Linked DNA regions of Xenopus tropicalis. The protein of the gene in region 3 binds, or shares a complex with, the protein of the main gene of each other region. Links are inferred from orthologs where the notes say so. Each region holds a gene or a part of one and is shown on either strand. Other genes may lie near its edges. The genes, in order: lin7c, lin7b, apba1 and lin7a.

Region 1 (4,511 bases), on a different chromosome or scaffold from region 3:
TATCTATCTATCTATCATATCCATCATCTATCTATCTATCATATCCATTTATCATCTATTCATCTATCTCTCTATCTATCTATCTCTCTATCTATCATATCCATCATCTATCTATCATATCCATTTATCATCTATTCATCTATCTCTCTATCTATCTCTCTATCTATCTATCTCTCTATCTATCATATCCATCATCTATCTATCATATCCATTTATCATCTATTCATCTATCTATCTATCTCTCTATCCATCTATCTATCATATCCATCCATCTATCATATCCATCTATCTATCATATCCATCTATCTATCATATCCATCTATCATCTATTCATCTATCTATCTCTCTATCAATCTATCCATCTCTCTCTATATATATTTCTCTCCCTGTATCTCTCTCTCTCTATTTACCTCTCTATATCTCTCTCTATATATATATCTCTCTGTCTATCTCTCTATCTACACACAGACACAAAAACATTTTTTTTACTTTTTAACTAAACATCTATAGGCCAAAACTGCGTGAACTCATCCGGAAAAACACTGTACGCAATGCAGAAAAACATAACATTGCCAAAATACTTGCCTATAGCATCAGGGAAACTGGTTTTTCTACCCCCCCCCCCCCCCCCCCCTACGTACATGTGCTCCTTGGGATAATGCAGCACAGTTTTCCTATTGGCACAAAGCATGTAAGGTTTGGTTGTGGGGGGGTTTATTCAATCTACATTATATATGGCTCTATAACATTTGAGGTGGGTGGGCCCTCTGTACTAGAGTCAATGTATAGATGTATAACTATATAAAGTGTTAGAACAAAAAAGGGGAATAGCTGCACCTTCCACAATTAGGTATAAAGCTCCACCAAATGTTAATGATAATGTATAAACAAGATAGATTGTACAGCACAGCCTAACAATTACACACAGGGAGGACAAGTGTTATAAATATATACCTATAAATAAGTATAACTACACAGAGATGCCATGTGGTATAAGATACAGTAGGATCCCTGCCCCATAGAGCTTCCATGACCATAGAAGACCATACAAACTACACACAGATATTGTCCTACTGAAAACCAGTACCAGGACCCCAGCATGGCAAGACAGCAATTCTAAAAGCACTAACAGATATCAGTTATCAATCATGAAGACTGAGATTTGGACGCTACTGAGAACAATTATTGGATATTATTATGAAGAGAATGAGAAATTACTCCCTGTGGAATGTCCTTTCTGCTAAACCATTTAGTTAATTTTACCAGCAAGTCTGTTTTTTTTTCTTTTATAAATATATATATATATATATATATATATATATACACATGTGGATGTGTGTGTTTGTGGCCTCCCAGCCCTGCCCTAAAGCCAGTACAGTCCCAGCTTTGAGGCAGGATTCATGCTCCTGAGTCTCCTGTGATCCCCAGTATCAGCGCCAGCACCTGTATTATAGGAATACCATGGGGTCAGCAGCTTATGGGCCTGTGTATGGGGCAACTAGGGCTAGGGCTGCCACCTGGACAGGAATTTAAAGGCCTAGCCGGCAAACTACCACCTAGAGCCGATGTTACAAATTTACAGGCAACGTAACTGCGGGACAACTTGTAAACCTCCACTTTCTTAAAGTTTTCTCTGAGATACTTATTTATTTGCACTCAGAACTGTTCTCTGTAAGCAGCTCTCCTCCCGCCTCTGATCCGCCTACACCACACCCCTGATCCGCCTACACCACACCCCTGATCTGCCCACATCCCACCCTTATCCGCCTATATTCCATCCCTGATCCGCCCACACCCCATCCCTGATCCGCTCACACCACACCCCTGATCCGCCCACATCCCACCCTGATCCGCCCACACCCCATCCCTGATCCGCCCACACCCCATCCCTGATCCGCCCACACCCCACCCCTGATCCGCCCACACCCCGCCCCTGATCCGCCCACACCCCGCCTCCATCACATCACCAGTTGCCTCCCTAGGGGCACAGGCCAGTAAGACTTAGGGGAAGAAGGTGGCACCTCTACGGGCAAATTGACCCCCTGTGATTTCACCTATCCGTCCCCTTTAGGCAAGTGCCAGTGTGGGGGCGATGGGTACAAAGCGCCAGTGTGGGGGCGATGGGTACAAAGCGCCAGTGTGGGGGCGATGGGTACAAAGCGCCAGTGTGGGGGCGATGGGTACAAAGCGCCAGTGTGGGGGCGATGGGTACAAAGCGCCAGTGTGGGGGCGATGGGTACAAAGCGCCAGTGTGGGGGCGATGGGTACAAAGCGCCAGTGTGGGGGCGATGGGTACAAAGCGCCAGTGTGGGGGCGATGGGTACAAAGTGCCAGGAGAGGGGGGGGGCAGGGTACATATTTAAGGAACAAAATGGGTTAATAAGACAGAGAGTAAATCTCAGTGACAGGGCAAATAGATTACTATTATTGTTGACATATTTATAAAGTACAAGTGAGCAGCCTGTACCAAACATACACACTCCTCCCAGTACTGGCACATACAGCCGGCAGGTAGGGCCCTGGGCCTCACAGCTAACACTCTAATGGCAGAAGGAGTGGGACTGTAAGGGAACCCCAGTCACTGGGGGGGGGGGGGGCGGATCAGTGCCAGGGGGATTATACAGGGGATTATACAGGGGGGGGGCAGATACTGACAGATACAATACACACACAGTGGCGGCGCTCACACTGCTCTGTATCCCCTCGGCACCCCCCCCCACTCTCTCAGCCTACCGACCCGCTGCTACTGCCCCTCACCTCTCTCCAAGCGAATGGGCTCTCCCACAGCAGCCATCTTCTTTCCTACACACAACGCTAGATAGTAAAACCCAATGGCTTGCAGCAGGTCGTGATGTCACCGTCACATGACCAAATGTGCGAAGCAGGAAGTGAGGTCATGTGAGGGCGTGTCTAGCCGCCAGCCCCACTCCTAATACTACTGCCTTGCCTACTGCCTGGGCTACCACCGGTGCTACTGCCGGGGTCCCTACTAGTGACACAGGGGAGCGGGAAAAGCGCTAGAACGGGGGCGGGGAGAGAGGGGTGGGGCCTGCTAGTGCAGGATTGGCGCTCAGTGGGAATAGGAGCTGATTAGTGACTGCTTCGTCGGACTGAGGGCTGCTGTGGGGGTGTGTGTTAGTGAGGCTGCCTGTAGGGCTTAATGCACCGGGGGGAAGAGCTGAAGGCTACAGGGGACTGTAAGGGAATTGTACTGGGGCAAAGGGAGAATTATGGGACTGCTAAGGGAATTGAACTGGGAAAGAAAGAAAATGAAAATGTAAAGGGAATTAAACAGGGAGAAATGGGGCTGCTAAGGGAATTGAATGGGGGGGGGGTGTGTAGGGAAAGGGTGAAGGTGAGCGCTGCAAAGGGGACTGTGCTGGGGGAGAGGGAGAAGGTGGCACTGCCAGGGAAATTGTACTGGGATAAAGGGAGACGGTGGGACTGCGAAGGGAATAGCACTGGGGGAATGGTAGGAGGTAAGGGCTGCAAGGGGAATAGCACTGGGAGCAAATGCAGGAGGTGAGGGTTGCAAGGGGAATAGCACTGGGAGCAAATGCAGGAGGTGAGGGCTGCAAGGGGAATAGCACTGGGGGCAAATGCAGGAGGTGAGGGCTGCAAGGGGAATAGCACTGGGGGCAAATGCAGGAGGTGAGGGCTGCAAGGGGAATAGCACTGGGGGCAAATGCAGGAGGTGAGGGCTGCAAGGGGAATAGCACTGGGGGAATGGTAGGAGGTAAGGGGTGCAAGGGGAATAGCACTGGGGAGAAATGCAGGAGGTGAGGGCTGCAAGGGGAATAGCACTGGGGGAATGGTAGGAGGTAAGGGCTGCAAGGGGAATAGCACTGGGAGCAAATGCAGGAGGTGAGGGCTGCAAGGGGAATAGCACTGGGGGAATGGTAGGAGGTAAGGGCTGCAAGGGGAATAGCACTGGGAGCAAATGCAGGAGGTGAGGGCTGCAAGGGGAATAGCACTGGGGGAATGGTAGGAGGTAAGGGCTGCAAGGGGAATAGCACTGGGGGCAAATGCAGGACGTGAGGGCTGCAAGGGGAGTAGCACTGGGGGAATGGTAGGAGGTAAGGGCTGCAAGGGGAATAGCACTGGGGGCAAATGCAGGACGTGAGGGCTGCAAGGGTAATAGCACTGGGGGCAAATGCAGGAGGTGAGGGCTGCAAGGGGAATAGCACTGGGGGGAATGGTAGGATGTAAGGACTGCAAGGGGAATAGCACTGGGGACAAATGCAGGAGGTGAGGGCTGCAAAGGGAATAGCACTGGGGGCAAATGCAGGAGGTGAGGGCTGCAAGGGGAACAGGACTCTGCAGAAAGGGAGAAGGGGAGGGCTTCAGGGGGGCCTGGTGTACTGGTGGAATGGAGAAGTTGAGGGCTGGAAGGGGTAGATAATTGGAATTGTACTTTGATAAAGGAGGAGATTGGGACTGCAATGTGAATTGTACTTAAAAGGAGGAGATGATAGATGCAAAAACTGTGTTGCGGAAACAGGAGGGGAGGA
Region 2 (2,911 bases), on a different chromosome or scaffold from region 3:
AATTTCTAAGTGGTGGCAACAAATGGAAAAAGTAGATTCAATAGGTTGAGGCTATATCATGGTCTTCAACAGGTTTGGAAACATAAAGGTCCATAAATTACTCACCACCCCGTTAACAGAAAGAAGCTGGTCCCCACGTTTGAGTCCTCCGTGACGATCTGCCACCCCACCAGGGATAATTCGAGAGATATAAATGGGGGAATTCTGCTCTTTTCCTCCCATGATGTTAAATCCCAGACCTTCATCAGTTTTAGGGAGCTCAACCACTCTAGGGTGGGCATGTCCTTCACTTGCCGCAAAAGCTGCCACGGTGGCCTGAAAATAATATGAATTTAAAGAAAACTCAATCCCTAAGGGCAAATTATTGAAATAATCTTTGAAAACAAAACCTTGTTGTGCCTTACTGCAAATGTGATATAGAAGAAAGTTGGGAGGATAACCTTTTCAGGGGTGACATGCCTAAAGCTATGAGGGAAAGGGGGCGTAGGTCAAACAGCAGAACCTCCTGCATGCTAGCAGTCACATGGGGCTACCAAATATCCAATCACAGCCCTTATTTGGCATCCCCAAATAAATTTTTCATGCTTGTGTGACTCACCAACACTTTTTGATGGTAGGTAGTGGAGGCACTTGCCCTGGGTACAATAGGGTGGGTGCAATTAGAGGGTAAGAGAGTGAAACGTGGCAGGGGGCCACAGCGAATGAGCCACGGTGGGCTGGTTGGTTAGTGCTTTGTGGACCTACCACAGGCATGAAGGATGTAAGGGGACATGTGAACCAGCAGGCAGGGTGCTATGTCAAACAGTACTGCCTTGGGTGCCAATACCACTTTGCTTGTTCCACTTGCCTGTGCACTTTGGGCCCTGCCTCCAGGGACTCCATAAGAGTAAACAGCTTATTGCCCTTTGTATGGGGCCCCCCGACTGCCTTTCCAATCAATATCTGGCTGGGCAAGGCCTGCATCAATTCACCGATTATCCAACATGTTATCAGTAGTCTTGTAGTCTGATTTAATAATTGGTACCTGGGTCAATGATCGGATCAGCCAGAATTGGCCAAAGGCAAGGGTGGCCAAATCGGGCAAAAATCAGACACATATCAAAGTGTATGGGCAGTTTTAGATTCACAAAGGAAACTGTTTTTAAACTATACAGTGGAGGAAATAATTATTTGACCCCTCACTGATTTTGTAAGTTTGTCCAATGACAAAGAAATGAAAAGTCTCAGAACAGTATCATTTCAATGGTAGGTTTATTTTAACAGTGGCAGATAGCACATCAAAAGGAAAATCGAAAAAATAACTTTAAATAAAAGATAGCAACTGATTTGCATTTCATTGAGTGAAATAAGTTTTTGAACCCTCTAACAAAAAAAGACTTAATACTTAGTGGAAAAACCCTTGTTTGCAAGCACAGAGGTCAAACGTTTCTTGTAATTGATGACCAAGTTTGCGCACATTTTAGGAGGAATGTTGGTCCACTCCTCTTTGCAGATCATCTCTAAATCCCTAAGGTTTCTGTCTCTGTGCAACTCTGAGCTTGAGCTCCCTCCATAGGTTTTCTATTGGATTAAGGTCCGGAGACTGACTAGGCCACTCCATGACCTTAATGTGCTTCTTTTTGAGCCACTCCTTTGTTGCCTTTGCTGTATGTTTTGGGTCATTGTCGTGCTGGAACACCCATCCACAACCCATTTTCAGTTTCCTGGCAGAGGGAAGGAGGTTGTCGTTCAGGATTTCACGATACATGGCTCCGTCCATTTTCCCGTTAATGCGAATAAGTTGTCCTGTGCCCTTAGCAGAAAAACACCCCCAAAGCAAAATGTTTCCACCCCCATGCTTGACGGTGGGGACGGTGTTTTGGGGGTCATAGGCAGCATTTTTCTTCCTCCAAACACAGCGAGTTGAGTTAATGCCAAAGAGCTCTATTTTGGTCTCATCAGACCACAGCACCTTCTCCCAGTCACTCACAGAATCATTCAGGTGTTCATTGGCAAACTTCAGACGGGCCTGCACATGTGCCTTCTTGAGCAGGGGGACCTTGCGAGCCCTGCAGGATTTTAATCCATTGCGGTGTAATGTGTTTCCAATGGTTTTCTTGGTGACTGTGGTCCCTGCTAATTTGAGGTCATTAACTAACTCCTCCCGTGTAGTTCTAGGATGCTTTTTCACCTTTCTCAGAATCATTGACACCCCACGAGGTGAGATCTTGCGTGGAGCCCCAGAGCGAGGTCGATTGATGGTCATTTTGTGCTCCTTCCATTTTCGAACAATCGCACCAACAGTTGTCACCTTCTCTCCCAGCTTCTTGCTAATGGTTTTGTAGCCCATTCCAGCCTTGTGCAGGTCTACAATTTTGTCTCTGACATCCTTGGACAGCTCTTTGGTCTTTCCCATGTTGGAGAGTTTGGAGTCTGCTTGATTGATTGATTCTGTGGACAGGTGTCTTTTATACAGGTGACTAGTTAAGACAGGTGTCCTTAATGAGGTTGACTAATTGAGTAGAAGTGTCTAACCACTCTGTGGGAGCCAGAACTCTTAATGGTTGGTAGGGGTTCAAAAACTTATTTCACTCAATGAAATGCAAATCAGTTGCTATCTTTTATTTAAAGTTATTTTTTCGATTTTCCTTTTGATGTGCTATCTGCCACTGTTAAAATAAACCTACCATTGAAATGATACTGTTCTGAGACTTTTCATTTCTTTGTCATTGGACAAACTTACAAAATCAGTGAGGGGTCAAATAATTATTTCTTCCACTGTATATGAAATTGCTCAATATAACTTGGTGCCGCGTAGCTTAGCGTGAATAAAAGGAAACAGTGGCAAAGGTTTTTTTAGTCAGTATAGAATCAATCAGCTTCATGCTGACGCTTGGTGGCTCCTTCAAAAGTGTCAGCGTGTTTATTATAT
Region 3 (3,908 bases):
AAATTTGTAATTTTCTGCTCCGATGCACTGCTTACTCACGGTAACTTTATGGCAGTTGGCATGAACACATTAGGGGTATATATAAATGTTAGTAAAAGAAATGCCATATTTATAAATAGTTGTTCTTAAAGGAGATTAAAGTTAACTGCTAGTATGTTATAGAATGTCATATTCTCAGCAACATTTCATTTGGTCTTCTTTTTTTCTTATATTTTTTTTTTTTTATGATTTGATCCTCTTCTGCCTTTTTCCAGCTTTCAAATGAGTATCACTAACCCCAGCAGCAAAAAAAACTGTGAAGATACAATTGTACAGTTATTACTTATCTTTCTGTTTAAGCCTCTTCCATTGATCTTTCAGTCTCTCATTCACAAGGGTAAATTCAGTTCTAGCAACCAGCAATTTTGTCCAAAACCGCTCTATCTACCTGTATAGAAAAAGACTGAAAATTCACTTTTTTTTCTTTGAAGGGATTGAAAAACCAGTCCCGTGTGAAGTTGAACATTGTGAGGTGCCCCCCAGTTACCACAGTCTTAATCAGGAGGCCTGACCTACGATATCAGCTTGGCTTCAGTGTACAGAATGGCATTGTAAGTGACTCTGGGTGCATAAATAATTGATATTGATGTGGGTTTTCCTTTTAATGGCCTAAATAAAAATATACTCTGCGTTAAGTATAGACAATGACAATATCAAGAGATGGTTGAGTAAGAATATCAGCTGCCCAGAAACTTACACCTAACAAGGACAAGCTGTAATGGCAAATGAGAAATTAATTGCATTCTCTTACTTATGATTATAATTATTTTTGTATAATTGATTAATAATATGATCATTTACATTTAGATTGCCAAGATCCTTTTTTGAGTGTAAGTTGCTTAAGCAGTTAGTCAAGTAAGAAATGATATAGAGACTTGATTCTGATAACCAATCAAGAAGGAGGTTTAGTAATGTTTATGGGCAGGGGGGCACAGGATTGTTTATATCTGTTTGTATCACCTATATATATAGGTATATATATATATATAACTTACACTGAGACTTTCTGGCTCTAAATTATTCACTCTAACAATTGGCTATTATTTTAGTTTTATTTCCAGTGTAATAAAGGAAAAACTGCTTAGTGAAAAGCAAATAATTTCCCTTTTCTCTGTAGTAATAAAACAATACCTTGTACTTGATGGTTACTAATCTGCAAGAATCCTACTGGGTTAATTTAATGTCTTAATGATTAAGATACAATGACCCAAATTACAGAATGATCCCTTCTCTACACACCAGTCTCAAGCATTCCAGATAACAGATCCCATACCATTAATGCGTTTTAAACAACATTATTTTCAGTCTGTAATGGCCAAGTGTCAACCAGACCGGCCTGCCTGACTGATATCTGACTGAAAATCAGCCAGATATTGATTGAGCAGGTTTGATTTTACCATCAAGTTGAGGACCACATCAGCATGTTTATGCAGTCCTTGTCCCAACAGCCTGCATAGCTTCAATTGTGATCCAACTGTTTGCCCTTCCTGATATTGCCCACCTCAAGGCAGCCTTGCCAAACAAGCAGATCCTTACATGTATGGCCAGCGAAAGAGCAATGCTGCCCAAGTTCCAGCATAGTGGGCAAAACAAATTAAATCAATTAAGTTATTATAGGCTTCTCCTGTGGAGGGACATTTTGGCTTTGTTGCGGGCGATGAAAATCACTTAGTAGGTCTAGACTGGACCTCCAGCAGAAAAGCCCTGTTTTGGAATATTGTTTAGAAAGTGGCAAACACTATATTTTTGTTAATTCATGGCCAAAATATTAAATAAGTTACCATATGCTCTTGGGGATAATTCATTTTCTGTGTAAGAAAAGTAACTAAAATTGCATAAATAATTGCATCCCCAAGTTAGATTTGTAACTCTCTAAGGACTGTAAATAACAATTGGCATTGTCAGACAGGGTACTTCACTGATTCATATTACAAGCTGTGATGGTCGAAGAGGGTTATTTTCACTGCCAGTGATCCTGTCCATAGTTGAAGCCAGCCAGAGTGTCAGCAGCTTTGGCAGGTCCCTGCTGCCACCAATGACCACAGATTATTAAAAATATAAGTTGTTCCCTGAATATGTTTTATTGTTGGAAAGCAAGAACCCTCTATCCACACCACTCTGTGGCAATGTCCTGCCTAACGAGAGCAAGCATGTGTATTATAGAAAAGCATCTCTTTAGCAGGTAGAAGAGACCTTCAGGGTTGTAGATTTCTGTTTACTGACAATATTCCAAGGTGAGGGCGTCATTTCTAACATGAGTGGGTTTTCATTAGGTAGCAGCTGAGGAGAATAATGGCTCAGCATATAGAGGTCGTTGCAGTCTTTGATGTTTCAGCATGGTTAAAGGTTTCAGTTTATTTGCATAGAAATAAGAATTTCAGTAGTTTTTAAATCACCACACAGGAGCAAGAGATATAGGGGATCATTTATGTACACAAGGCAGTGGCACAACTACCTATCAGCTGTCCCTTAAACCACAGGGGACCCAGAAAAGGATCCATATCCCCATGGAATCTTCCAACCATGCTGTCAGATCCATATGCTCATAGGGCCAGGAGAGAGGGGGTACAGTGGGGTAACTATGATACAGCAGACACAAGGGGGACCCCAATCAGTCATAGCGTCTTCTCTACGGTGCCAGTACTAACTGGGTTTGGCCCAGGGCCTAGGATCAGCAGACGCAGCAAGTGGGGACCCAAATTTTTATTACTCACAAGTTAGTGGAAGGCCCCAGTTATGCTGGAATTATGGGAGAGGAAAGCTTATGGGGAAAAAAACTTGGCAATGTGCAGATGGAGATTTAATATTGAACTGCTGTGTAAATGGGCTCTGTGATCCCTGAAGATGTTCCTTTCTTGGATATTCAGCATGGTTGCCATTTTTTAATGATGTTCTCTCTCAAAACAGATTGTGTACTATCAATCTTTTAACTGGGAATATAAAATGTAGATGCGTATTTATATGTATTTTTGAGAGATTCTTCTGACTACACAGTTTTAAAGGGAAACTGTCATTATTGGAAAAACATAAAATATTTAAATCTGCAAGAAATTGTAGTAAATTGTCAAATCTGTTTTGCAGAAGATTCTTTATTATATTTCTCATGAATACCGTGCTGCTGAATGCAGGCAGCAATGTATTCATAGGAGAGGCACAGTTCATGTGTCTATGGACATTAAGCGTGGGTCAGGGTGTAAAGTGGAAAAAACATTGCAGTTTTCTGAGCTTTTTTTTTTTTTTTTTTTGCACTTTCTACCCTGTGCTTTTAAATGAACCCCTTAAATTTCTAATTAATTTCTCAAATCTCGGTGAGAAAGTTTCCTGCAATGTTGGCAAATGTTTAGACATTTTATAAGCTTAGTGCCATTATCTAATGAAATGGAGACCAATTTATTGCAGATCTGCAGCCTTATGCGAGGTGGCATAGCAGAGCGAGGAGGAGTGAGAGTCGGACATCGCATCATTGAGATCAACGGACAAAGTGTTGTAGCAACTCCCCATGAGAAGATAGTTCATATTCTTTCCAATGCAGTTGGTGAGGTAAGTTATTTGGTCTCGTGAAGTCAGTCATTTCAGTACTGCAAATTGTTTATGCATGAAAATATTACATTACTAGTGGTCTGTAGTCAGACTAACAGGTGGTGCACAGAACCTCACAAGCCAATATCTTTCTATAATCATGGCCAGAAATATTGACACATTTGTAGTTTTTTTCAGATAATGCACCATTTCTTCCAATTGTTGAAAATAATTCATTCTCACTTTTCACTTATGTATTTGTTTATTTCATTGGAACAAAACAAAAAAGGATTGTTTGAACTGTGGTCAGAAAGATTCAAGTTGACCTTCAGACAAAAGCTACTTGTGCT
Region 4 (4,400 bases), on a different chromosome or scaffold from region 3:
TAGGTGTGCATGGGCTGCTGAAGATTAAAGGCAGAGCAGCCCTATGACAAAATGCTTACATTTTTTCTTATTTATTTCCCTTTTCATTTGTTTTTAAGTTATCTACCATTAAATATGCACCCGCTTCTCGTCCACTTTTAGTTCAGGCAACTATGGGCAGTTTACATAAGAGGTAGAAAAATGCTATGTAAAAGGGACAGTAACACCAAGAAGAAATAAAAAGAAATTTGTATTTGTTATACTTTTACATTTGTAGAAACTCCAAATATTTTTCTTGGCAGCTGCAGTCTTATTTTGCATAAGAAAGGGTCCTGCGTGCATAGAGCTAGGAATGATGTCAACTCCTGAGGGGGAGGAGGACCCCTCTTTAGGGGAAAAAAGAAGGATTATTTAAACCTCCCATTATAGTGCTGCTTCATTCATATACTGCTGCAATAAAACTATCATACTAATAAACTATAAATATCCATGTGAGAGCTGTAGTCCAGCAACATCATAATTGAAGTCTTAATTTAACAATACCTAATAAAACTTTTCCCCAGCATTTCAGAGCTATCCACTGAATGCAAGATGGTTCTCCAATGGGAACCTTGCCAGTTCCCACTGAGGACATTGCTAAAGGTGTTAAAAAAATATCTTTTTTAACTCCTTAACATTACTAAATGTGCCCTTATGCTGTTTAAATGCCGTGCAATATTGTCAAGAAAGAGTGTTCATTGGAGAGCAGTCTTGCATCTGCAGTTAAGTTTGGTATAGCTACTTTGGAGGGTTGGGGACTGCAAATTGGAACATTTTCAGGAAGTTTTATGTTCCCTTTAATGCTTGCAGTTCATTTGGTATATGCAGAAAAGTGACGAAATAGAAAAGAAAGTCACAGTTGTTCTTAGATCTTTGAAAACTTAGAAAAACATAATTTTTTTAATGCCAGAGATTTGCTATTTTACAAACAAGTTAACATAAAAAACAGAAATAAAATGAAATACAGATTTCCCACTACCCCTGACACTTCTTTGCCAACATGGAGTGTAGAAGTTTCTCTTTATATGAAGAGACAAGCCATATTACTCAGTGCTAAGCATACACAAACACAAAATTCAGCTGCAACAATGTATAAGCGTATCTCTCTTGGGTGCATCTGTTTTCCTAGAACAGCAAAAAGAAACAAAACATACCAGAAGTGAATCTGCAGAAGAACCAAGCTGCTAAATGGTGAGGTCTCCTTTCTTAAACAGTCACTCCCCCAGGCTGACTGCCATTGGGAGGGGCAAGAGGGAGAGGCTGGGGAGGAAAAGTTTAACTGGTTAGATAGGAGAAGAGCCCTCTGCACTCTAGGCTGCTGTCTCTTATAGTAGCCGGCAGAGAGGGAGGTGTTTGCATTTTAATATCACCTTGTGTTCATGCAGCATGCCTCCTACAAGGAAATGAAGACTGAGTAAATATTTGCAAAGAAAACAGGAGCATGTGAAGTGAAAATACCGTGCAAGAGCAACAGTAAAGATGATTTCAATGTAGTGGCTGTATGATTTTGCCATTTTCTGCAGGCAGACTCACAGTATCTGCTATCCTTACCAGAGCTGCAAACCAACCCCATGTCACAAGGGAGATAATGATCCACTTCTGACCTTTTTGAGACCTTATTTCTCATTATCATTTTGTGTCAAGAGGAATTCAGACCTAAAAAAAACAGGACTGAATGATTATCTCCCTGATGACATGGGGTTTGTTGGCAGCTCTGCCTTAAGTTCTGAAACTTTTGTGTACCTTTAATGTTTTGATTTATTTTATTAACTTTATTTACAGCACTTCCTCTTTAAGGAATTCTCTGAAAATTCACTAAAACACACAACAGACCAGAGCCACTACCCCGCACACCTCCTCTTAGGGGGAAGTGTTTTAATATGAACTTTTAACTGTAATTTATAACTGTGCGGACTGCATGCAGCAATGCTTTGTGTCGATCAGAGGGAAGCAGAAAGTGGCAAGTAAGTAGAAGCAAACCAAAAGTTACATGTTACCATCTTTTCTCAGTACCAGGCATGGGCAACCCTAGCTGCAAAGTACAACTTTGATTTTATTACCTTTCACTGCTACAGTAAGCAAATTGTTTTCATTAAATGCAAGACAATAAGCTGAAGATATTACTTATATGCATCAAATAGCCTTTGTAATAAGTATATCCAATGCTGATAAAAATATAAAAACGAGCAATACAGCATTTTTGCAGGCAACTATAAAGGGTTGTCAGCAAAACTGCTTTATAATATGTTGATTGTGCATATAAACAGGAGGCAACCTGTCCAGATAGCTTTGCCTTTCTCTCAACTTTGCCTTTGTTCCCCAGTTTGAACTTTGACTATTATTTGCACAACATATTTAAGTGTTTATTTGGCATACTATATAGAGACTATGGGCCTCGTTTGCAAAAAAAATGGGACAAGGTGCAAAAACAGGCACAAAACTTTCTATTATTTTGCACTTTGCTCTTCATGTTGCACCCTGATCTAAAACTTTGTCCCTTCCAAGAATAAAGTACAAAAACAGGCATACAAAAGGCGCAGATGGATGTGCCCCCTAGTATGTCCCTAGATTTTTGATGCCTCAATATAGCCGGCAATAAGTACAGGAATTCCTTAAGTCTGTGTTAGATGCTTTCTGCAACCATCAATGGCACAGATACACTGACAATGGGAGGTTCAGTGCCGCAAATAGGGGTGGGCAGAAAAGGCACGTGCCTAGGACTGAAAACTATAGACCCGTGAGTCTGGCATCAGTGGGCTTTTAGAAGGGATAAGGGATAGGATACTTGAATACATTGCAAATCACAATACTATAAGTTTGTGCCAGCATGGCTTTATGCGTAACAGTTCTTGCCAGACTAATCTAAATAGCCTTTGATGAGGAGGTGAGCAGGAACCTTGACTCTGGAATGGCAGTGGATGTCATCTACTTGGACTTGGACTGCTGAGGTTAGACTGTCAAGGTTGGGGTTGTTTTCTCTGGAAAAAAGGCGCTTGCGAGGGGACATGATTACTCTGTACAAGTACATTAGAAGGGATTATAGACAGATAGGGGGTTCTTTTTTTCTCATAAAAACAATCAGGGCACCAGAGGCAACCCCTTTAGATTAGAGGAACAGAGCTTCCATTTGAAGCAGTGTAGGTGGTTTTTCACCGTGAGGGCAGTGAGGTTGTGGAATGCTCTTCCGAGTGATGTTGTAATGGCAGATTTCTTGAACAAGCATAATATCCAAGGCTATTGAGATGCTAAAATCTGCAATTAGTATTGATGTTGGTTTATGTATGTGAGTGTATAGATAGGTCAGTATATGTTTGTATGTGCTGGGTTCTCTTGGAAGGGCTGAACTTGTTGGAGGGTGATGGGGGTGATGGAGGGGTTAGGATTGAGGGTTGAAGGTGTTCAGGTGCAGACTTTTAAATTAAAAGTTAGGCCATGGGTTGAGTCTAAAAGGAAAAGAGAATACACATTTTGTAGGTGTTTATGCACTGTGCCAATCTAATCTTACTTTGAATTGACAGAATTCCACTTTGACTATGGCTTGCGCTGAACATATTATTGCCTGTTGTCACAAAAACTTTATGGTCCTTCTTATTTCTTGAACTAAACTGATAATCTGCTCCATGTTTGGTCCTTTCATACATAATTGAATTACCAGTATACAACCCCCTTTCTACCCCCTGGTGTTTCCTTTGGTGTTGTTAGCAAGAATCCATTATGCACTTATCTGTGCACTAGTAATCTAATTATCTAATCTAAAGGCTGCACTGGAAGAGCCAAAGCCCATGGCCAGCCCCAATGCTGTTGGTCTGGAAGAAGGATGGGAAACATATTCCCTGTATTTGATCATTCCTTATCAACCCTGAGGCACTCAAGTGTACTTTTTACCTGTGTAGCAACAGCCAGTGGCTATTAGCAGGTAGCAGTCAGGAAGGAGAACAGCCAAAGACGGCCTTTATTACATCCATAGACCTGTTTGCATTTAATTGGATGTCATTTTAGCCTGACCTATTTCCCCAGTTCTTTCCAAAGATTAAAGAAAGAGTGACATAGGTCAAGCAGTAAGAACATGGCCCCATTGCAACCGGAGTCTCCTATGTCCCTCTCCTGCCAACACTTCTGGATAGAGTTCTGGCCAGTGCAAACAGCGCTATATCCAAGAGGCTAGCCACAGGTCTTTGTGCCCTGACACAGACTGCAGAGGCCTGCAGCAATTTGTAAAGACAAGAAAATAGTGTGCAAGGGGCATAAAATGGTCGATTACTGGGTTTTGTGCACATTTTTTCTCTCATGTAAATGAGCCCTGTTAACTGTAAAAATGAACCATGTGAACTGTGAGGTGTAGTAATATTATCCTACTGCATTTGGATGCCATGTATAGCAGG

What was found.
Region 1: apba1 (region 3) and lin7c share a complex: the UniProt entries of both Homo sapiens proteins name them as parts of the brain-specific heterotrimeric complex. The link is inferred for Xenopus tropicalis from reciprocal best matches to the Homo sapiens genes APBA1 and LIN7C.
Region 2: apba1 (region 3) and lin7b share a complex: the UniProt entries of both Homo sapiens proteins name them as parts of the brain-specific heterotrimeric complex. The link is inferred for Xenopus tropicalis from reciprocal best matches to the Homo sapiens genes APBA1 and LIN7B.
Region 4: apba1 (region 3) and lin7a share a complex: the UniProt entries of both Homo sapiens proteins name them as parts of the brain-specific heterotrimeric complex. The link is inferred for Xenopus tropicalis from reciprocal best matches to the Homo sapiens genes APBA1 and LIN7A.

What each region holds. Positions count from the first base shown.
Region 1 is NC_030680.2:21,036,273-21,040,783, reverse strand, and holds the start of lin7c (protein lin-7 homolog C), read right to left. Parts: upstream 2,927-4,511; 5' UTR 2,795-2,926; coding exon 2,758-2,794; intron 1-2,757. UniProt on the Homo sapiens protein: Plays a role in establishing and maintaining the asymmetric distribution of channels and receptors at the plasma membrane of polarized cells.
Region 2 is NC_030683.2:118,025,065-118,027,975, forward strand, and holds part of lin7b (protein lin-7 homolog B), read right to left. Parts: intron 316-2,911; coding exon 106-315; intron 1-105. UniProt on the Homo sapiens protein: Plays a role in establishing and maintaining the asymmetric distribution of channels and receptors at the plasma membrane of polarized cells.
Region 3 is NC_030677.2:129,514,585-129,518,492, reverse strand, and holds part of apba1 (amyloid-beta A4 precursor protein-binding family A member 1), read left to right. Parts: intron 1-470; coding exon 471-590; intron 591-3,438; coding exon 3,439-3,579; intron 3,580-3,908. UniProt on the Homo sapiens protein: Putative function in synaptic vesicle exocytosis by binding to Munc18-1, an essential component of the synaptic vesicle exocytotic machinery. May modulate processing of the amyloid-beta precursor protein (APP) and hence formation of APP-beta.
Region 4 is NC_030679.2:52,620,376-52,624,775, reverse strand, and holds the start of lin7a (protein lin-7 homolog A), read left to right. Parts: upstream 1-1,314; 5' UTR 1,315-1,491; intron 1,492-1,753; exon of another isoform or gene 1,754-1,936; coding exon of another isoform or gene 1,937-1,982; intron 1,983-4,400. UniProt on the Homo sapiens protein: Plays a role in establishing and maintaining the asymmetric distribution of channels and receptors at the plasma membrane of polarized cells.